Tamandua tetradactyla: one gene and its partners. The protein of the gene in region 2 purifies or fractionates together with the protein of the main gene of each other region. This does not show direct contact. Links are inferred from orthologs where the notes say so. Each region holds a gene or a part of one and is shown on either strand. Other genes may lie near its edges.

The links. The genes of interacting proteins can lie anywhere in the genome.
Region 1: the proteins of VBP1 (region 2) and PFDN5 purify together in Homo sapiens (affinity purification with mass spectrometry; 7 studies listed by BioGRID and IntAct, counting the BioPlex papers as one, with this or other methods). This does not show direct contact. The link is inferred for Tamandua tetradactyla from reciprocal best matches to the Homo sapiens genes VBP1 and PFDN5.
Region 3: the proteins of VBP1 (region 2) and PFDN2 fractionate together in Homo sapiens (co-fractionation; 8 studies listed by BioGRID and IntAct, counting the BioPlex papers as one, with this or other methods). This does not show direct contact. The link is inferred for Tamandua tetradactyla from reciprocal best matches to the Homo sapiens genes VBP1 and PFDN2.

Annotation. Positions count from the first base shown.
Region 1 is NC_135333.1:114,655,973-114,663,360, forward strand, and holds PFDN5 (prefoldin subunit 5), read left to right. Parts: upstream 1-4,379; 5' UTR 4,380-4,439; coding exon 4,440-4,511; intron 4,512-4,709; coding exon 4,710-4,812; intron 4,813-5,115; coding exon 5,116-5,147; intron 5,148-6,188; coding exon 6,189-6,263; intron 6,264-6,381; coding exon 6,382-6,487; intron 6,488-7,183; coding exon 7,184-7,260; 3' UTR 7,261-7,386; downstream 7,387-7,388. Other genes in the region: ESPL1 (separin), read left to right, coding at 280-407, 542-664, 1,148-1,303, 1,424-1,594, 1,721-1,825, 1,995-2,110, 2,283-2,366, 2,534-2,698 and 1 more. UniProt on the Homo sapiens protein: Binds specifically to cytosolic chaperonin (c-CPN) and transfers target proteins to it. Binds to nascent polypeptide chain and promotes folding in an environment in which there are many competing pathways for nonnative proteins.
Region 2 is NC_135353.1:904,405-911,920, forward strand, and holds the start of VBP1 (prefoldin subunit 3), read right to left. Parts: upstream 3,013-7,516; 5' UTR 2,974-3,012; coding exon 2,881-2,973; intron 1-2,880. UniProt on the Homo sapiens protein: Binds specifically to cytosolic chaperonin (c-CPN) and transfers target proteins to it. Binds to nascent polypeptide chain and promotes folding in an environment in which there are many competing pathways for nonnative proteins.
Region 3 is NC_135330.1:14,265,207-14,273,123, forward strand, and holds the start of PFDN2 (prefoldin subunit 2), read right to left. Parts: upstream 3,010-7,917; 5' UTR 2,977-3,009; coding exon 2,902-2,976; intron 1-2,901. Other genes in the region: NIT1 (deaminated glutathione amidase), read left to right, coding at 3,107-3,159, 3,721-3,816, 4,179-4,433, 4,540-4,643, 4,862-4,995, 5,140-5,265, 5,526-5,792; DEDD (death effector domain-containing protein), read right to left, coding at 7,149-7,525. UniProt on the Homo sapiens protein: Binds specifically to cytosolic chaperonin (c-CPN) and transfers target proteins to it. Binds to nascent polypeptide chain and promotes folding in an environment in which there are many competing pathways for nonnative proteins.

The sequences.
Region 1 (7,388 bases), on a different chromosome or scaffold from region 2:
CTAAAAGTGAAATGTATTACAGATTATTTGAGTATCTCACTGTGCATGGCCCTTTTTGTTAGCAGCCGTGAGAGACTCTAAGAAGTACAAGACATGGTCCCTGGTCACAGTGAGCAGTTAGGGCAAGGGAGAGAGTACCTGAACCCAAATAACCAGGGATGGCTTCTTGAAGATTTATTTTGAGTTGTCTTGAGTGATGGATTGGGATTAAATGCAGAAAATAGGAAAGGGAATGCCTAGTAACAGCTGAAATGTTTCTGAGTATGTTCTCCGTGTCAGGGGTGATTGTCTGTGTGCTGGCCTTGGCCACCCTCCAGCCTGGAACTGTGGGGAACACCCTCCTGCTGACCCGGCTGGAAAAAGATAATTCTCCAGTCACTGTGCAGATCCCCACTGCCCAAAACAAGGTAGGTTTCCAGGACCAGGGTGCAAAGTAGGGCTGTGGGGGGCTTCTGGTTAAGCTGCTCACATTCTGTGGCTGGGGGATGGAGAGATGGCATTTATGTGACCAGCAGAGATCTTACAACCCCATGTCCCAAAGCTTCCTTTGAGTTCAGCCCTGAATGAGTTTGATGCCATCCAGAAGGCACAGAAAGAGAACAGCAGCTGTACTGACAAGCGAGAATGGTGGACAGGGCGGCTGGAACTGGACCACAGGATGGAGGTTTGTGTTCCTAGGACAAGCTGAGGTCACACCTGCCCTAGGAATGACCCAGGGGATGCTAATGTCTTCTCTGCCAGGGGTCCCAAGTCAGTGCTGAGCTACTGTGAGTCCTTTCTGAAAGTATAAAGCATGAATTTAAAAATTGCATGACTTTAATCAAGAGGCCAGAACTTGAAGAACTTATGGCAATGGAATGTTTAAAGACACACAGAAGATGAAGGCTGTAAGCCTAAGTATCAGCTGCCTGGCAGCAGCTCTCCTGGCTCACGTGTTCACAAATTTGTCAAAAAAAAAAAAAGATTGTCTATAATAAACAGTCTTATCTGTAGCCTCCCACAGGCCCACCAAATGAAAAATGTTTCTAGCTTCTTGCCTTTTCAACTGGCAGAAAGAAGTATAGAACAAATATCCATGGTGGAAAACCTATTTCCTCATTTCCAGAAAGAAACTTGTCTTCCTTCCTCTCTCTTCTCCTGTACTCAGGTTCTCATCACTTCCCTAGAGAAGGATGTGTTGGGCTGCTGGAGAGGGCTGTTGCTGCCATCCAGTGAGGACCCTGGCCCTGCCTGTGAGGCCTCCTGCTTACAGGGGTTGCTGCAGGAATGTGGCTGGAAATATCCTGACCCTACCCTGCTAAAAGTGAGTTAGAAAAGCAGGGAAGGGGTAGAAGCAGTAAACTTCATTCTTCTCCACAAGCCCAATAGCCATTTTGACTGGGGCTAGGGTTTACGGCACCCATGAACCTGTGTTCCCCTGCAGGTCATGCTCAGTGGTGCCAGTACCCTCAGCCCTCAGGAAATTCAGGCCCTGGCCTATGGGCTGTGCCCAGCCCACCCCAAGCGAGCCCAAGAACTTCTGATTGAAGCGATAGGACGTCTTCAAGGTCAGACAGTGCCAAACAAGAAGCACCTTGTCTTGGTGCTGGACAAGGTAAGGAGCTAGGAGGGTCAGAGGGCTGTGCCTGATGGGCAGTGGGCACCAACCTACTCCCACACTTATTTTTCCTCCTGTCCATACCTGGTTAAGGACAGTAACATCTGATTGCCTTTTGTGTAGGACCTGCAGAAGCTGCCATGGGAAAGCATGCCCACCCTCCGGGCACTGCCTGTCACCCGGCTGCCCTCCTTGCGCTTTCTGCTCAGCTACTCTGTTATCAAAGAGGTGGGGCTTGGGGGCCTTCCTTCAACTCGAGAGAGCTGAAGGAAGAGAGAGGCAGAGACCTGGAGAGATGGGAGAGGGTCTTAGGAGTGGGTTGGATGTGGAGAGGGGCTGTTGGAGCTTGGGCCTCCTGGTCAGACCAGGGTCCTGATCAACATTATCTACTCTTCAGTCTGGGGCCTCATCCGTGCTCAGCCAAGGGGTGGATCCACGCAACACGTTCTACGTCCTGAACCCTCACAATAACCTGTCAAGCACAGAACAGCAATTTCGAGCCAATTTTAGCAGGTCAGGGAAGGGGCAGGGGTGAGGGCAAGAAGACGGGTGGGGAAGGGTAGAAACAACTTGTAGGGGCAACATGTCCTTGTCTCCACCTTCTACCTAATGTTCCCTCTCCCCTCTTTGCCACATGACCCCTGCCATGCAGTTCCCTATTCTCACTCCTACCTTCTCCCCACAGTGAAGCCGGCTGGAGAGGGGTGGTGGGGGAGGTCCCAAGCCCGGAACAGGTGCAGGCGGCCCTGACTGAGCATGACTTATACATGTGAGTGCTTACACCAGGGAGCGGGGAAAGGGGTAGTCTCAGAGGATGGAACATCATGGTCTGCTTTGGAGCTTTAAAGCCTCTGGCTGACTCAGGATATTTCTGGAGACATGGACAGAGACCTGCTACTGCTAGTTTGAGGCTGACCTCACCTGTTTCTGCCCTAGCTATGCAGGCCATGGGGCTGGTGCCCGCTTCCTAGATGGACAGGCTGTCCTGCGGCTGAGCTGCCGGGCAGTGGCCCTGCTGTTTGGCTGCAGCAGTGCAGCCCTGGCTGTGCATGGAAACCTGGAGGGAGCTGGCATCGTACTCAAGTACATCATGGCCGGCTGGTGAGTCTTGGGTCAGGTGCATCCTAAAGCATTAAAGCTCCTGCTCCTAACCCCAAGTTCTTTCCGAAATCTGAACTCTGAATCTCTCTTGTGACTCACTTTCCTCCCATCCTAGTTTCCTGGCATGCCTGGTTGAGCCCTTTAATGCTTTGCCTCTTCTAACCTCCTCTTGGCACTGTGGGACGAGGGAGTCCCTCCTTGGCTGGATCCTCTCCTCCTCCCACCTCCCAGCAATGTTTACTGTGTATTTGTTTGAGATCCCTTATTATTTTGTATTTCTTCCTTCTCTCTTCCCAGTCCTTTGTTTCTGGGTAACCTCTGGGATGTGACTGACCGTGACATTGACCGCTATACAGAGGCTCTGCTGCAAGGCTGGCTTGGAGCAGGCCCAGGGGCCCCCCTCCTCTACTATGTCAACCAGGCCCGCCAGGCTCCCCGTCTTAAGTATCTTATTGGAGCTGCTCCCGTGGCCTATGGCTTACCTGTCTCCCTGCGGTGACCCCTTGGAGCTATTGTATATCTGGTAGAAGCCAAGTGACTCTGTTACCCCCCAACTTAGATTTTATCCTTAGAATAAATATTTTTAAGTGATTTCAGTGTTTTATATGAAATATTTCCTTTTAACTTAACCTTAATAAAGATATGTCACCTAAATACTGTTTGTGTAGCTCATTTGATAACATTTGTGGACTTCCTGCTTCCTCCCCACTAATCCCCCCCGGCCCCCACCATATGGTACTGTAAGTGCATGGGAACAGCTTTCAGGAGTTCAAATCTGAGAGCACTGGGGATAAAAGGCAAAACCACAGGACAGAGCTGGGCCTGGCTGGGTCTCAGCAGACAAAGCTGAAGGAGAGAGGGGTAATAAAATGCTCTTAGTGGGAACAGAGGCCCAGGGAAAAGTAGGGACCCATTGTGAGCAACTTGGCCAAGTGCCATCACGTCTGTCTTGTCTTTCTCCTCAGGTATCCTGGGTGTGACACTAGCTTGGTGCCTCTGTTATCTTGCCCCCCTTCCAAGTAGATGTCAGTGGCTGCTGTTCCTCTTTCACGTACAGCTGCTACACACTTGTCAGTGCCATGGACTTAAGCAGCAAATTCTGTGGGATTCTGCTCCCTGTGTATTTTATTTATTTATTTATTCATTTGTCTTCTCAACTAGATTGTAAGCTCCTGTGAAGTACAAATTATATCTTACGCTAGTGTATTCCTCACATCTAGTATATGGTAAATACATTTTGTGCTGAACTTGTTAGTTGTAATGGTACCTTCTTACTGTTCTCTCCACCTCTGGACACTCTTCATCTTCATTTGACCAAAGGACCGTTTTCACAGTGCTATGCCCCCTCCCACAGAACTTCACAGGCTTCCTCCTGGCCTCTCAGTTGCCACTCACGTGGATTTTTACCACTCACATGGAGCAGCTTACGCTGCTTGTGGTAATGTCCCGGGTACTTGTCTTATCTTTAAGATTTTTAAGTTCCTTGAGGACAGACGGCAGAAATCTTGCTTGCTACAACTTTACTGTGCTATGCTTGGGATGCTTTGTGAAAGGGATGCGCTCTTACCTTCTCGAATCAAAGGCGAATCTCGGGAATTTCCAGCCCCTCCTTCCTGGGACGGAGGAACATAGAGATATCCGGCGCAGCGAGGCCTCCTGGCGCTACCATCGAGATGCGCAGAGGATGGCTAGAGCGTAAAGCGCCGAGCCGACTTCCCTTTCATTAGCCCTCCTTCTCAATATGGCGCAGTCAGTTAACATCACGGAGTTGAGCCTGCCGCAGCTAGAAATGCTCAAGAATCAGCTGGACCAGGTGGCGACGGACCCCTGAAACACCCTTTTCCCGCCTCACAGCTCCCCTGCCCAGGCGGACTCCTCGCCGCCATTCCTCCCCTGTTTGGGAAACCTCCCTTCCAAGGCGAAACCGCCACCGCATCCCCGGTCCTGTCCCCTCTTCGGCCAGACTCCCCTGACGCTCCAACCCGTTGACCATCTTTCCTGTTCTCTGCAGGAAGTGGAGTTCCTGTCCACGTCCATTGCCCAGCTCAAGGTGGTACAGACCAAGTATGTGGAAGCCAAGGACTGTCTGAACGTGCTGAACAAGAGCAACGAGGGTATGAAGTAGGCGTGCGAGGGCCACACGCAACATAGGGAGTGTGGTTAGCCAGTTTCCCCTCTCTTCCCGCCGCTTCATCCAGTTTTCCTTACCCGAGGCGCGAAAACAATCCATTGCGTATTGTAAGAGCCCTTTGCATGTTCCATACCTAGAGTTGAAATGTACAGAACTTTCCTCTGTTTCTGTTGCCCCTGTTTCGTCCTTTTCATACTGGGTGCTGTACTATGTTGGAGTTCCCTGTAACGTTTTAATGTTGGCGCTGCCAACCTTCCCCAGGTGTTTGTCTTAATTCCTTTCACAGGGAAAGAATTACTTGTCCCATTGACCAGTTCTGTATCCTTTCCACAGGAACTGCTGCCCTGACCTCTCCCATTCACCCCTTCCCCCTCCACAAAGAGGAGGTAATTTTGATTACTTCCGAGTCCCTTTCATTCATGATTCTGAAAACTTCCAGCTCTCTTTTTTAATCTGGGGCTGCCTACCATCCAGCTACTGCCTTGTAAATTACCAAGGGGTGTGTAAAGTTGAGCTGCATTATTTTCCTTTGCTGTTTGAGGATATTAATCTAATATAGGGACAAAACTGGTAGTTTACACTTTTGCTAATAATCTGGATAGACGACATAGCAGTAGAAGAATAGGGTATAGAAACAGTGGTTGGCTCTGTTCCTTTTTCTTTTTCTTTTTTTTTTTTTCCGCATGGAGAGGCACCAGGAATTGAACCCAGGTCTCCAACATGGCAGGCAAGAATTCTGCCACTATTGGCTTTGTTTCTTAATCTTCAATTTCAGCTTAATTGTGGCTTTTTTTCCTAAATTGCCATCTCTGAGAAGCCTGGATTGTGTCCACCTATTAAGTGTTTTTGTTGTATGAACAATTTATGGCAATAGGTAGTCTGAGAACTGACAGGCTAAAAGAGAAACAAAGGAATAGCAGTACAGTAGGGAAAGGTTAAATAATCATTAAATTCATTAGGAACTAGGTAGTACAGGGTTGGAGGTATTAAGGGGAAGTGAGTCTGGGTTTTCACCTTTACTACTCTAGAAAAGTAGGAAAACATCATTGTATCTAATCTTTCTGGAAGAGCTAATGGGAAGAATTTGAGAATTGCTTGTAGGGTGGGAGATGGGGTCAGGGCAAGAGAGTGTGCTAGCATGTGACATTCTCTCCACAAGGAACCACTTTTTCTCTGCCTCTCCCCATTGGAGTTTTTAAGTATAGTTCTAAGGGCTTCTGATTATTCAGAAAAGGTTATATTCAGTCCCTTTGCCTTGAAGCTTTCTAGAGAAGGTGTGCCTTCAAAGGCCAAGCAGACTGACTTACTGGAATTGTGGTTCATACTGGGATAGTTTTTCCCTTAATCCTTGCTTCTCAGATGTACGTCCCTGGTAAGCTACATGATGTGGAACATGTGCTCATCGATGTGGGAACTGGCTACTATGTAGAGAAGGTGAGTTTCTAGAAGCAAATGGGTGCCCTTGTGAGCAAGAAAAGGGAGCTTAGGAGAAGATCTAAGCTGTGATATATGGTGTCTCCTCTTACCTCTCATTTACCTCTGACCTGTGCAGACAGCTGAGGATGCAAAAGACTTCTTCAAGAGGAAGATAGACTTCCTCACCAAGCAGATGGAGAAAATCCAGCCAGCTCTGCAGGAGAAGCATGCTATGAAGCAAGGTAAGCTTGACGTAGGCCATGTTTTGTCCCTTTCTACCTCCATGATTAAGAACATGGATTGCAGTGTGAACCCATAGGGTTTAATCTTGACTGGGTTAAAGCCATATCTTTATTTCTCTTCCTTTGGTGTTTTGGTGTGTTATTCTCTAGCTTTTGTGTACTATCTGTAGATTTCTGGGTTGGGTGCCTAGGATGGAAATCATGTCCGCTCTTACAGAGGTCTTATTTAATGGAGATGGAGTAGGGGATAAGATAATGTAAATGAGTATACAGGAAAGAAACATAGCACTAAGTAAGTACTAGTGATTGCTACCTTAGCTGCATGTTAGAATCACCTGGGCCTGCTCCACACCAACTAAATCAATCTCTGGGACCTTGTTCCTTAGGCATCAGTGTTTTTTAAAAGCACCCCAGTTACACAACCAGGATTGAGAACCCCTGTTCTAAACGCAAAAATCTTTTCCACGTTATATCTTGCAGTTAAGTTTGGCTCATTTAATACCATAATTTGTTCATTTTAGCACATTGACACATTGTAGGCTATAAGTTTGTACCTAGTGTGTCTGTCCCCCTATCACTGGTTAAAAATTGTATTAACAAACTGTAGCTGGTTGTCTCCCTTTGCTTTTCTTAACTCTAGGTCCTCTCCTTCCTTTAGCACTGGCCAGTGTCTGAATCTTCCTTTTTCTTCCCCAGCTGTCATGGAGATGATGAGCCAAAAGATTCAGCAGCTCACAGCCCTGGGAGCAACACAGGCTACTGCCAAGGCCTGAGCTTGTTGCAGAAATGGGGTTAGAGGGCACCCTGCTTCAGGGGCCTGGACTTCGTAGGAGTGGCTTTTTGGTGTGGGGAAGATAAGGGCCTTGTGTTTAATGCTAATAAATGTCATTTGGGCACAGTG
Region 2 (7,516 bases):
CTTTTTAGTTGTATTTACAAATAGGGAGAGAAAGATGACCTTGCTTGCTTTATACATTTCCCCATGTGGCTTTAGTATTAAATATGAGAATTACCAACAATCAAACATCTTGCCTATTGTGCTGAACAGACTGCAAGCCACAAAAGCCTCCTTGCATACTAAGTAATCCAAAAAGACAAAACAATCTTTGTAACAGGAATAATTAAGCAAAAAGAAAAGCAGTAAAACACAACAGTCATGGTTTTAATGTATACTAAATGCTGGTCCTTGAAAAAAACCTAATTAATTAGGTAAGGATCAGGAACTCGATGAAAATACACAGAAACCTGAAAAAGATTCTAAAAAAGTCTTCCAGTACTTTAAAGAACTTCTCTTCCTTATAAGTAAATTTGATTACCTTATGGTTTCTGGGCTCTCCACATCATTATTCTTATCCATGCATATTAGCTACAAGGGAATAATTTAGCTGAAATAAGGAATGATGAAAAAAGGAAGAGAAATATAGCCAAGGAGTAAAAATCAAGCTAGAGACAAAAAGAAACTGAAAAGATGAGGCTAAGAGTGAATGGCTGAGCGTGGCATTTAAATTGAGTTGATACCATCTTAGAAGGGTTACCATATGAAATCGAAAAAAATTAAAGTTTTTAGCACATTGTATATGTGATTAGGATAGGAGCTTAGAAACTAGCAAGGAGAATTAACCATAGCAGCATAAGATTTTGCTTACAATACACGGCTGCTTGGTCTGAATCCCAGCATCACCACCTACTAGCTGTACTGACCAAGGGGAAATTATTTAACTTCATTTATAAAATGAATAAAAGTACCTTTTCTTCAAAGAGGATGAGTTTGTATGTTTAAAATGTTTAGAAGAATACATGACACCTAGTAAGTGTGCAATGTACCATGACAACACTAATGAAAGTGACAAAAATTCTGTCTTGGCATAGGGGTGAGGAAAAACTACAGAGAGTAGCATTTGAAATAGACGTTGAAAGACGAAGAGTTTCTCAGATGAACAATGAGAAAGGGACATTTCAAGCAGAGAGAGAAAGAAAACAAATTCTTACACCAGTAGGAGTGGAGAAAGGGCAAGGTCTGACTTCTAACCACTATGGTATACTGCCTCCTATCTTAGAAACTTAACATCTCTTAAGCACTTACTATATTTCCAATACTGAAAGGACATTCCGTTTCTCATAACTCTATAAGTACTGTTATCCCTATTTCAGTTGAGGCTCAAAGCGGCAAAATAATATGCTCAAGGCTAAACAGCAATTGGAGAGTAAAGATTGAAATCTTGGTCTATTTAGAAGCCAGTGTTCTTTCCACAATACCTTGCTATTCCGGTTAGTCTGGGAACATAAAAATGATTATGTAGACTTTGGATTACTTATTTGTCATGTTGGTAGAAATTTTAAAGTCTAGGGGAAAAAAAACCCATAATTTTAGGGAAAAAAGACCATATATAAAGGCCTCAAAGTTATCCTCCTTAATTAGATTTTTGAAGCCATCTCTGACTACCATGAATGTAGTATTGAAAATTTAATTCAACACTAATTAAATCTATTAAAATTTAATTCAACAATAATTTATGAGCTTATACTGTGACAGGCACTGTGCTAGGATCAAGAGAAATAGCAATGAAAAAGAGAACTATGTTGCTTTCCTGCAAGCAGCAAGTATGCTAAGGCTCAAGAGTCTCAGATTACTCAAATTCAGACTCTAACTACCTAACTTTACACCCTGTCACTGTGACCTGGAGCAAGTTACTCAAATGCTCTGTTACTCAGTTTCACCATCTGCAAAATGAGAATCCTAATTTATATTCTAAAATAAAAAGTGGGTCTAAAGGTGGCTAATAAAAGAAATGGGTCTTCTGAAGGATATGAGGCAAAATTAGCAAAAGGTACAGATATGGCGATATAGATACAAGAGGTTTAGAAAACTCTATTAACGCTTTTATAGTGGCCCAGCCAGAAGCAAATGGGGAAAGACAGGTAAAGCTGGCCGGAATGCCCAGTTAGAGGTTTTGTCTCACTATTCAAGTAGTTTTCAAATACTATTCCTGAAGAAACTTTTTGAAGAGCAGGGTGGCTAGCGCCCACTTGCTTCTCTTTGTTTGGACATGGGTTGGTCTTCCACTTGGGTGAGGCCTCCAAATTGGTTTCCCCTGCCTCCTCTCTCAACTCCACACAGGTCGTGGCTTTAACTGAGAAACCTTTTAATGACAGTCCATCGGCTGCTGGAAAAAGTCTCAATTCCTTAGTCGGACACACAAGGACTTGAGCATCTCACCCTACCTTACCTTCCCTTCAGTGTCTTCCTCCATTCCCCAAGAGGCAACCAACCACTGCTTTCCTTCCACAGACTATTTCCTTACCTTCGTACCTAAACACAGCTGTTCTACCCACTGCTTTCGATCCCTTGTATTCTAATTATCCACTTATGTCTCTCCAACCAGTAAGGGGAGCGATGCGCTCGCCGCCGCCGCCGCCGCTCCTTTTCCAGGTTCCCGAAGGCTGCAGGGAACGGACCCGGGGGCTGCGGGGCTGCGGGGCTGCGGGGCGGCGGTCCCTCGGGTCGCGCGACCCCGGGGCCCCGTCCTCACTTCCCCGCGACGTCGGCCCCCGCTCCCCGGCTCACCCGCCCCGCGCTCCCGCATCCCCTTCTCTTCACGGGCCCGCTTCCTCCCGCTGGGCCCCAGCGGAACCCAGCCCGGCCAGCCGACGGGAAGGAGAGTGGGCCAAGCCCTCCCTACACCATTCCCTCCGCGACCTGGTCCAAGGGCCAAGACCAGGGTGGGGGGGGCCAGGAGCCGTGCAGTAGGTCTTGGTCTCCGGCCTGGGCCAAGGAGTCCGGGCCCAGCGTGCCTCTTACCACGAAAACGGCCTCGGGGATTCCCAGGTGGAGTCGCCGCCCGTTCCCTAAGCTCACTTCCCCAAAGCCACAAGAGTCCTTAGCGGCCGCCATCTTGAGGGAACGAGCCGGCAACCCCGCGTCTCCCCAGCCGCCAGCCAGCGGGGACACGTGATTGGCTCGCAATCACCTGCTGGCCCGCCCCTCACTGGTGAGTCTGTGCATTTATTGGCCAGCAGAAAGGGGCCGCCATTTGCCCTGCGAAGATTCGCCCAACCAGGGGGAGCTGCATGGCCTCCAGCAAGTGCGCGAGAAGCATGGGAAGGGCCAACCGAGAAGAAGGCAGGAGCTGTGGGAAGGACCTGTACGGACTCCTGGGAAAAAGGCCCGGAGATTTCGTGTAGGGCCCTAGGAATCAGGGACCAGGCCGGACCCCACTCCTCCCTGGAACAGGCTGCACTATCACCGTCCCACCATTCAGGAGAGAGCTTCTTACCCCTTAAAGGGGACTTACTTACTTTGTATCTGTTTTAAATGCAGCCACTGGCCAGATTGAAATCAATACTACGTCCGTTGCACCACCTTTCTGGAGAGCCACCTTTAATCAGAATCTTGTCCAGCTCAACGTTTTTACAATTTCATAGGCTACTACCAAACCTCGACTTCTAGGCCCGCAGACATTCCCAACATCATGCTCTATAAAACCCTTTGAAAGCAAGAGCTTCATACAGACCCAAGTAGTTATTCTTTTGAGCTCTTTTCTAACATCTACCTACCGTGCTTGTTCTTGCCTTTGTTTTCGCTGGAGCGCTTCCCGTGGGGCCTTTCACCCACTCACCCAAAGCCTACCATAAGCCAGGTCGTCTATGAATAAGAGATAAATGTCAGTTCTGCCAAAGAAAAAATTGCACGGGACCATGTTAAATGAGGAAGGATGACTTTATCCACAGCTGCCATCATAGGGAAGAGAGAGAAAAACTCAATTCCGAGGAGGGCAGGGGGCTGATTTAAGTTTTATAGTCAGGGCGAGGGCAGTGGACAAACTGGTCATCTGTTTGAAGAACGGATGGGGAGGGGAACGTGGAGGGAGGTAGCCTACTTTGGGTCTGAAGTTGTCAACTGGTCTTTTCCTTCCCCCCCACCCCCAGCAGTTTCAGTTTTTTTCTGCAGCCCCTCAGCTTCAAGATTACTGTCAAGGTATTCAGGGCAGGGGAGGAAGCTAGTAAGAGCTAGTGAGGACCGAATCTGGGAGCTTGGGCAAAAGAAAAACAGTCTTGCTCAGTTCTCTTACTTGATGGGGACACACATATGTAATGATAATAATGGCTAATATTACACCCTAACTTTGTGCCCACAGCCCTGTGTGAGAAGGACTGTTATCATTGCCTATTTACAGATAAGTAAACGGCCTTAAAGTGAACATTTTATAAAATAACAGGGAAATGTTTAACAGTAACATACCAGGTACTAAGGGATCACAGGTGAAAAAGACACTACCTAACTCATAATTTTAAATGAAAACCATATTTGCCAAATGATATATATATATATATATATATATATATATATGAATACCTACTAGTGCCAGCCACACAGTGGGGCAACCAAGTGTTTTTACATCCATTACCTCCATTCCATCCATACCTTGTTACATCCTGCCAGTCTGGACCATATGAACAGATAAGTGACCTTGTTAGGGTAGGGTGGCAACAGAATCAGGTAGGGATCAAAGGGCCTCACAAGGCCAAGAAATGAATCTACATGCAATAAAATACTGTATCAGGGTGCTAAGTAACCAAAGCCACCTGGAAAATGAGTCAAAGTAAGAGGGCAGCCCAGGAAAGCCAGTACATCATGCTTCAGATTCCACGAAGGCAGGCCACAGCAGGAACTCTCAGGCTCCTTACAATACAAAGCAACTGGAGTTATTCCCAATTACTGCAGAAAGTTATGGAACTGGCAAGAATCTATTTGGATCCTCTCATAATATGAATGATGAAGCTGAGGGAACAGCTGTGCCTGAAATCCCACAGCAAATCTTGGGTTTGAGCTGGAAGAAGAACCCAAATAATTCAGCTCTAAGTCCACTGTTCTTTATTACCTAAAATAGTTCTATGCACCACATCTGTCCTCATCATCATCCATTTTAAGCAGAATGGGTCTCATAATTCATGATATAGCAAACATATTTCTGAACTAGTCTTATGCTTATTCTGTTTTTCCTGAGCTAGAAGGCCTTCCAAATGTTGTCTACTCTTCCTCATGTCGAATGAAATAAGGCATACATAAAAGGACAGATATTGTATGATCTCATTTATATGAAGTAAATATAATATACAAATTCATAGAGCCAGAAATTAGAATACAGGTTTCCAGCAGCAGGGATGCGGTGCAGAATGGGGAGTTAATACTTAATTGGTACAGAGTTTCTGCTTAGGGAGATAAAAAAATTTTGGTAATGGGTGGTGGTGATGGTAGTACAACATTGTGACTATAATTAATGCCACTGAATTCTGTACTTAAAAGAGGTTAAAATGGGAATTTACTTTTTAATTTTAATAACCCATAGAACTGTACAATACGAAGAGTGAACCCCAATGTGAACTATTTACTTAAGTTAATAATGTAAGCATAATAGTATGGGTACTGCTGAGGGTGCAGGGCTGGAGGACTGGCCAGAGGGCAGTAATAGGTGGGGGTGTTGGGATAGAGTGACTGTCAGCCACTGAGTCAGACAAGTTGCTGCTGCTGGCACAACCAGGAAGCTGAGTTCAAGGGGGTGTCTGTACCAGTTCTGAGCCAAGTAAACACCCCTAGAAACTTCCTTAAGGCTGGGGCAGGACTGAGAAGCAGGTGGCTGTAGGTCTGAGGAGATGGGGTGGTTCTTGAGGAATGGGGGAGGGGGAAGGACTCACCCTCTGACCATTGGTTGTGTGTTCAAACAGGTGTTGACTCCTGTTCTTAGATCGTTCAGACAAATGTCCAATATTCTGCATGTTTAGATCATCTGGCTAGTCACTACTGTGGATGAAGAGCAGTTACAATGCTGCATACTTAAGTTACACTCCATAAAGCAAATGACACACTAGCACCTTACAAAATATTTTTTCTGCTACCACCAATGACTATGGCTCTGTTGTCAAAAAAGACCCTGCTCCTCAGGACTATAAGCAAAAGCACCCTTGACACCCTGTGGCACAGCCAAGTTGTTAATTCAACCATCGCCATGGAGGAGGCCCCTAACCTTGCTGATACTGCTTTGAGGTTCTCTCTCTAAGTATGAGTAGAATAGAGAGGAACCCCCAGAAGTATAGCCTCATTCCCAAACTTTACTAAATCCTGTTTCTGCTGATACTTGCAAATTAACCCATCTTGAATGGAGCCCCCTATAACAAAAGGCTCTAGAATCTACCCAAATTGTAATACAACAGGCATTTTTGTTAGTAGCATCACTGTAGGAGCTTTAGCAACCTCCTCTCATACTTCCTGTAATCTGTGGACCACTGTGCGGGTTTGAAACTGTCATGTACCCCAGAAAAGCCATGATCTTTAATCCTCATTCAATATTGCTGGGCGGGATCTTTTTTACTGTTCCCATGAAGACGTGACCCACCCAATTGTGGGCGGTAAGTTTTGATTAGATGACTTCCATGGAGATGTGTCTCCACCCATTCAAGGTGGAGTTCTTTACTGGAGCCCTTTAAGAGGGCACCATTTTGGAAAAAGCTTTACAGCCCATGCAGCCAGTGACCTTTAGAGATGAAGAAGGAACACATCCCCAAGGAAGTTCATGAAACAAGAAGCCTGGAGAGAAAGTGAACAGATGTCACCATGTGCCTTTACAGCTGAGAGAGAAAACCGGAATATCATCAGTTTCTTGAACCAAGGTATCTTTCCCTGGCTGCCTTAATTTGGGCATTTTCATGGCCCTAGAATGGTAAAATTGCAACTTAATAAATCCCCCATTTTAAAAACCATTCCATCTCTGGCATATTGCATTCTGGCAACTGTAAAGTAAAACAAACACCTGTGATGGCCATAAGTTTCCCTATGTCTTCCAATGCAAGACACTCTAATACACCATTCAAGTGGCAACAGCTGACCACATAGGTAGTTCTCCTGGAAACAGAGTTTCTTAACCCTGTGACGTGTGTTCCCAAATGCCCATTATGCCCTAGGTCATAGAAGCAACACCCCACAAGCTCAGCACAGCAACTAAGGCCTCATTGCCACAGAATGGAGCCAAACCTGTACTGTTTGGCATATCCACCTGTGGGTTGAGGTGGCCTCCCCTGTCCTCAGTCCCTTTCCAGGGGCCATGCTGCTGAAGAAGGTTATCCCTCTCCCAGACCCTTTGGCTACCTGGGGAAACTCCTGGGATCACCTGAGTGAACAACAATGGGAGTTTTATTTTTAATGTTAAACAGGTTTATTTATTCAAAATTCATAGAGCTCAGTGGAGAGCTGTTGCTACTTCATATTCTTTTATTGTTATAATAAAAGAAAAAACTATGATTTTCTATTTTTTGTCTATGATTTTATCTATGATTTTCTTTTTTCCCCCCATTATTTATTTTTATTCCATATGTTCCTCTCATCTGTTGACAAGGTAGATAAAAGGAGCATCAGACTTTATCTATGATTTTCTATTTTTTTC
Region 3 (7,917 bases), on a different chromosome or scaffold from region 2:
AAAAACATAAGAGGGGAAAACTCTCAAAAGACATACCCCCAAATGGTAAGAATAGTTATATTCAGACAGTAGGATTATGAGCAACTTATTTCCTTTTCCTTTCTTTATATTTATTCTTATATTTTCTACTATGGACATGTTTTATATTATGTAATAGGGCAAAAAGATCAACAGTATAACATATATCCTTCTCTGGGTCCTTCACTGCTTACCATATATTCCCAAGTTTTTTGCCATGCATTCCAAGTCTTCTAAGACCTCCGCCCAACTTACTTCTTTAGTATTAAGGAGCACATGTGTTTCTAATTTATACCTTGTGATTTAGCAAAAGTGACCAGTGGTAATTCATGTCAATTGACTTTTTACCCCAACTCTCCTAAATCCTCTGAAATGCAAATGTCAGGAGGATAATATAACCTACTTCAAATGGCAACATTAAATAACAGAAGATAAAACAAGTGAAGTGCCTAGCACAATGTATTACTTGCTTTCATTTTGTTTGTAAGGGACATGTGGCTCAAACTTGCTGTAGAAATAAATCTATTTTTTACCCAGTATTCTCACTGGAACAAAGACAGAGAATGTTAACAAGGAGCAGCTTCAGAACTCAACATCACAACTCCTCAGTCTCCACTGAGAAATAAACTCATCTTTTCCCCCAAACTTGTCTGTCCTTTTACATTCCCTATTACATTACTATCCAACAAAGACATCTTGAGAGACAGCTAAAAAACAAAGATAATCAAGTAGCATTTATTGAGCACATATTATGTTCTAATCACTGTTCAAGGATACTTTATGTGCATCGTCTTACATAGTTTGCAAAATACAGGGATAAGGTAGGTACTATTATTATGTTTTTACAGATGGGGAAGACTAAGAAGTAACTCATTGGTGGTCATATCTATAGTAAAGAGTAGAAATGGGATTCAAACTCAGGTCTGTCTGACCCAGTGCACTTGTTTTTATGCTCTTAGCTATACCCACCATACCAAAGTTCCCTTTCCCACCTACCTCCCAAATTCCACAACCTCCTGCTTAGTCATGGGTTCCTCCCCTAGATGTCCCAAAAGACGGACTGTGTGGCACACTGTAAATTTGTACTGTTCAGTTTGTCTTTTCTCATTTGAGAAAACAAGGACTATTTTGTTTATGTTTCCCTGCACCCAGCAAAATTCCTGGCACATCAGAGTCCCTCAAAATATATTAGGTTTTTTGCACACCGATATTCAAGGTGGCATTATTCACAATTGCCAAAATATGGAAGCAATCCAAGTGTCCATCAATTGATGAATGAATAAATAAAATGCGGTATATTATATATAATGGAACATTATCCAGCAGTAAAAAGGAATGAAGTCCTGATACATGTGACAACATGGATGAACCTTGAAGACATCATGTTGAGTGAAATAAGCCAGATACAAAAAGACAAATATTGTATGATCTCACTGTTTTGAAACAATTAGAATAAGCAAAGTCATAGAGTCAGAATCTAGAATATAGGTTACCAGGGATGGGTGGGGATAGGGAATAGGAAGTTAAGGCTTAAAATGTACAGGGTTCCTACTTGAAATGATGGAAATGTTTTGGTAATGGATGGTGGTGATGGTAGCAGAACATTGTGAATGCAATTAACAGCAATGAAATACATATCCTAATGTGATTAAAAGGGGAAACGTTAGATTGCACATATGTTACCAGTAAAAATTTAAAACAAAAATCCATGGAATTACACTACACAGTGAACCCTGAGTTAAACTATGGACTTTAATAGTATAATTATTAAAACCTGCTATTATCCATTGTAATATATGTTCCACACCAGTGCAAGGTGTCCACGGTGGGGTGGTGTATGGGAATTCTTTATTTCATGCCAACTTTTCTGTAAACCCATAATTTCTCTCATTAAAAAAAAAGTATTTCATTCCTTCTTCCCTTTCTCTTTTCCCCTCCCCCAAATCCCACAGCACTTTACACCTCTCTTCAGACATTGGTCTTCTGTCTCATATAACTTTTGCATGTTTTATTTTCCTTGCCAGGCTATGAGTTCTTGGATGGCAGGAGCAGTTATAAAAATCTTTATACAGACATCTTTGCCTGTTGTACACCGTCAACAAATAACTAATGAATGAACTTGTACTTAAAATAGCCAAGTTTAAATTGCAACCTTATGCCTTTGATTAATTCATTCTATAGTGTGCACGTTGTTGTTTGTTTTCATTTCTACTGTGAATGTTTCTTCTCATACTGATTAAACACTAGTTCCACTATTATCAAACTACAGTTCCTAGTTACAGAAGGCTCTCTGGCTAATTTATCAAACATTTCCCAATGTTAGGTACTGGGAGAAATGCAAATTCCTATCAGAAAGGGTTTCTGGTCTATCAGGAAATTCAATCTAGTAAAGACTCCAGAATCAAAATAGTATTGAACACTAAACTGTTCGAATATGTGTCACGTGGCTCTGCAGAGTGACGGCGACTGTCAACGTGGTTCCAGGGTCACAAAACAGACTACGAAAGCAGCCCGTTAACTAAGCTCCTGCGATTCGTTATGACTGCCTTGCCCGACCATACCCTGTTTGGGGGTGCAAAGGAGAGGTGGGGCAATTCCTTGACGACCTATCTTCCCTCAGATCTGTACATCCTCCCAGGCCCTACAAACCAGGGCTTTCCCTTACTCCGGTTTTACCTACCATCCCAGACAATGTCGAGCTTTCACCAAGCCACCCGCCCACTCTCTCCTCCGGAGCTCACCTAGCTTCTCCAAGGACCCTCCCCTCTTTGAGTGGCCATGAGGATTGGAGCAAAGGCCTGTACAAGCAACAGACCCCTCCCTTTCGCGCACTGACTCCGGGCTCTGCGGGAGATACTCTTCTTGGCATTCCCGGATTCTCACCTGCTCAGCGGACACCGCCCCCTTCCCGGCGCCGGTCCCGCAGCTCTTGCCGGAACGACCGCTGTTGTCCGCCATCTTCGCCGCCTGCCGGTTTCCGGCCTGCGCAGTTCAGCCTCCGTCTGACGCCACATCCGGTCTCGATGTTACCGCCCACTCGTCCCTGGCTTCTCTAGCTCTTGGCGGCTCTTCGGTTCGGCTCTTGCGAATGGTTTTGGCCGTATCTTCATGTAGGACCTACTCCCCATCCTGCCGGCCGCGGTGAATTCCACCTGCGGTGCTTTAACTTGTGTAACAGAGACGCTGTCCCCTGGCAGAGGCGGGAAAGGAGTGGCTGTCTGGAGGCTGGGAGCGCGGATTGGGATACGGGTTCTTGTGCCCTCTGCCCCCGTGGGGTGGCCGAGGACAGGGGAGGGTGAATTTTCCCCTAGATTGTCCCGGTGTAAGGGGGGCAAATATACTTTAAGCCAATAAAGCTGTGCAGATGCAGAATCAAGAAGAGAGGCCTGGGAAAACCAAGAAAGTTTCCCGGAGGTGACTTTTGAACTGTGGAGACGTTTAGCACGGGAAAAGGGTTCAATTTAATGTTAGATCACTGGAAGACTGGAAGTCGAGATATTCAGGCACTGAACAGCTTTCCGTCCTCTATCTTCCCACCTTATGATCTCTTCCTGTAGCCCATAATTACTTAAAGTGTGTTTTGGAGACTTATTTTTACTGGCAGGACCCTGATCCACCTCGCAGTATGAAGAGAAGTTAGAAAACTCTAGGAAGTTATTGCTTGAGGGTGGGGTTGGTGTCCTGATTTCTCACCTTTCTCAGGTTGGGCTTCATCATCAGGCCTAACCAGCTCCTGTCCCTTCTTCTGTGTCCTGGACTCCGGATACCTCGACTCTCAGTACTTTGTACCCAGCCCAGGTAACAAGTTTTGTTGTGTTCTGATTGTCTAACATATTGAAAAATGCTTGTTATATGAATGGTTGGTGGGAGACAGTGGTGTGCCAGCCATCCACAGAACATTTGCTTGGCAAGCCCCACTAGGCCTAAGTCAGTGTATCCTCTAAGAGCAGATTCAAAAGGAAATTAGGGTGGGCCACGGTGGCTCAGCAGGCACAGTTCTTGCTTGCCATGCTGGAGACTCGGGTTCGATTCCTGGTGCCTGCCCATACATTAAAAAAAAAGGAAATTAGCTTTCCTGACTCCCCATTTGAGTCCCTTATCCTTAAACTAGGGTTTCCTCATACTGAGAAATTTGATAATCCTGCCTGTGTCATTCACAGGCCCAGAGCCATGGCCATCTCCTCTTCCTCCTGGGAACTGCCTCTGGTGGCTGTGTGTCAGGTAACATCAACACCAGACAAGCAACAGAACTTTAAAATGTGTGCTGAGCTGGTTCGAGAGGCTGCCAGACTGGGTGCTTGCCTGGCTTTCCTGCCTGAGGCATTTGACTTCATTGCACGGGACCCTGCAGAGACACTACGCCTGTCTGAGCCACTGGGTGGGAACCTTGTGGGAGAATATACCCAGCTTGCCAGGTATCAGGGAAAGGGGGAGGGAGAGGTAAAATCATTGGGCAGTGTTCCTGGTTTAGGTTAAGAGGATAGAGCCTTGAGAGAGTTTTCAATGTCCCCCTCTCTCCAGGGAATGTGGACTCTGGCTGTCCTTGGGTGGTTTTCATGAGCGTGGCCAAGACTGGGAGCAGACTCAGAAAATCTACAATTGTCATGTGCTTCTGAACAACAAGGGTGAGACTTTACAACTGTTTAGCCTACCTTTCCCAGGCTCGTCTTCCTAAACTCAAGTCCCTAGAATTGTGTGTCTCAACAGTGCTTCCTTGGCCTAGGGTTTTAGAGGTGTTTGTACTTCTGTTTCTAGTCTATAAGTCATCTCCTCTTGGGAGGGGAGGAGCTAAACTGGGCTCCTAGCACATCAGCACTGAGTATCCTTCTCCCTCTTACTCTAGGGTCAGTGGTAGCCACTTACAGAAAGACACATCTGTGTGATGTAGAGATTCCAGGGCAGGGGCCCATGCATGAGAGTAACTCTACCACACCTGGACCCAGCCTTGAGTCACCTATCAGTACACCAGCAGGCAAGGTGGGAGTTGTGAAAGGATGAGGGTGGGAGAGGCACAAGAGGGAGGGGAATAGAAATATTTTGAAGTGGGTGGTAGTAGAGGATATAAAGCTCTAAGGAAAGGGGCAAGGCAAGGGGGCTTAAGCAGGTTACTTTCTATTACAGATTGGTCTAGCTATCTGCTATGACCTGCGGTTCCCTGAACTCTCCCTGGCATTGGCTCAGGCTGGAGCAGAAATACTTACCTACCCTTCAGCTTTTGGATCTGTTACAGGCCCAGCCCACTGGGAGGTAAGAGGACACCTCTTTGAAACTTAAGGGCCTTTCCTTAACCTTCTCTTCCCCTTCCTACTTGGTAGGAAGTCATTTCCTAGATTGTTGCCTGGCTCTCATGTGTTACAAAATAGTAAACATAGTAAACCATTCCTTGGCAATAATCAGAATGGTAACAGTGGGTACATCATACACTTGGTCTGTAACATCCATCTCCTGTCACTTCTTCATTAGCAACTGCATGTAGTTAAGTAAACACACATCTCCTCATCCTCCAGGTGCTGCTGCGAGCCCGTGCCATTGAAACCCAGTGCTATGTAGTGGCAGCAGCACAATGTGGGCGCCACCATGAGACAAGATCAAGTTATGGCCACAGCATGGTGGTGGATCCCTGGGGAACAGTGGTGGCACGCTGCTCTGAGGGGCCAGGTCTCTGTCTTGCCCGAATTGACCTCAACTATCTGCGACAGTTACGCCAACACCTGCCTGTCTTCCAGCACCGCAGGCCTGACCTCTATGGCAATCTGGGTCACCCATCATCTTAAGCCTTTTGACTTTTGTGAGTTGAGACTCCCATTATGAGCTGGTAGTGCCATGACTTTTGAGCAGGACCCAGGTGCAGCTCCCCTCACTCGGAGAACCTTGACTCTTGATGGGACACAGGCTCAGCTTCTTGGGAAAGAAGAAACTTTCACCTGAGCTCAGATTTCAGTTTCAGAAAGGTGGAATTTTATATAGCCACTGTTTATTTCATGAAAACTGGAGTAACTCTGAGGGCTGAGCAGCACTGGCATTGAGAAAAATATAATAATCATAAAGTCTGTGTTTGGATATCTCCTTTGGAAATTGCAAAGGGAGGTGGTATTGCATCTGCTGGTCTAGGCTCCAGTTCTAGGTTTCCTGGCTCATTCAGCATGCCTCCCTATGTAAATAAAAGTGCAACACTCAGTGCATGTCCCAGCCCCATTCTCCCAAGGGGTTAGAGAATGGGGAAGAAAAAAGAAAAGAGTTGATACTGAATTACTTCACTTGGTGATGCCCTTTGCCCAAGCCAGAAGAAAGCAAAGGGGAAAAGGGCTGCAGGGTACATTATTTATTTTTACTTGAACATGGGAGGAAAATGTCACACTCCCCCTTCCCCTTTTTAGGGGGAGTGTACCTTTTCGACTCAGCAACGTCTTCTCCACCTATCCTGTGTATGTATGTGTGAACACACACACACACTACAGTTGGAAGAGTGACTAGGCTGACCCAGTTCTCTCTTACCTATTACTCTCTTAAAGAGGATTTTCTAAACGGGGAAAAAATGAGCCACACCAGGCAAAGTTTTCAAGCCATGAATGGAGGAAAGGAGGCAGAGAGGAGCAGCACCAGATGCCAGGAGAGACTGGAAAGGGCCACAGCTTCTTTGTTTTATAAAAATTCTGTAATTTGGGAGAGGATGGTGATTAATTTCCAAATACACTTGAGACCCACCTTCCACATAGCTCCCTTACTCACAGCCCTTTGGTTTTGCAGACAAAATTTAAGAGCCCTCATAAAGCCAGAAGTATTGATAACCCCTCATTGCACCCAAAAGCAGTGTTCACGTCAATCTCTTATGAAGACTCTGTTCTATAGACTTTTCTTTTCCCTACACATTTGTCTTACGGCTCAGTGGTAAGGTAGCTGTAGAGACACAAATTAGGGGTATTTGGAAAAGGGAAACAAAGGGGAAGCCCAAGCACACGGGTGCAGGGAGGGGTGGGGACACCACTTCCACTTTCCTTTGTCTTTACCTTAAAAAAAAAAAAAAAAAAGGCAGGGGGTGTGATTGGAAGGGTAAAGAACAAACCCCAGAACAGTATGTAAGCTCCAGAGGTGGATGGGAACAGTCCCCACAGAGGTGAGATGGGGAAAGGTCAGGGCAATGCTTGCAGCATCAAGTTCCTCAGGAGTTTCTGTCGGCCCAGCTCATAGTCCTCCTCATCCACATTCACCAGAAGCTTGATGGCTTCGTGGCCCACAGCCTGCTTGAGGGAGTCTGTGATGAAGACACCTTTAAGTGCCTCTAGTAACGAGCCATTGATATAGTCGCGCCAGAATGCGTCGAGGTAGGTGAGCTCAGAGAACTTGATGTCACAGATGATGGAGCCCAGGTCCCGGGACTTGAGGATGGTATTGGCCTGGTTAAAGCGCTCAAACTGGCGCTCAAGTGGGTCCTGCTTGTTAGAGAAGACATTGCCCTGCAGAGCAGTCTCATGCTGGCAGTATTCAGCCCGAACTCGGAGTCTGATGTCTGAGGAAGAGAAGTTACAGGGAAAAAGAGATTTCAATCCAAGTTTGAAATGTTGAACAGCAAAGTAGCAAAATGGTCTATCATCTGCCAGCTTCTCTACCTCTTCCCCAGGATTTCTTCTGAAATCCTTGCCTGAATGTAGGCGGTTCCCTTACATGGGACATGCCTAGTCAGCATTATTCCCTCATTGACATGAAGCACCTTCCAGCCCCTGCCTAATGGGGGATATTTTATAACTTAACAAGCACAAGTTATTTTAATACTCTATCATGACTTTCTTCATCCTCCAATCAAGATCCGTTTAATCAAGTATTAACTAAAAAGAGTTGAAATATACTCTGCCACAAAGATAGAGGGAATATTACTTGCAGATATGATGCCATTCAACTTTC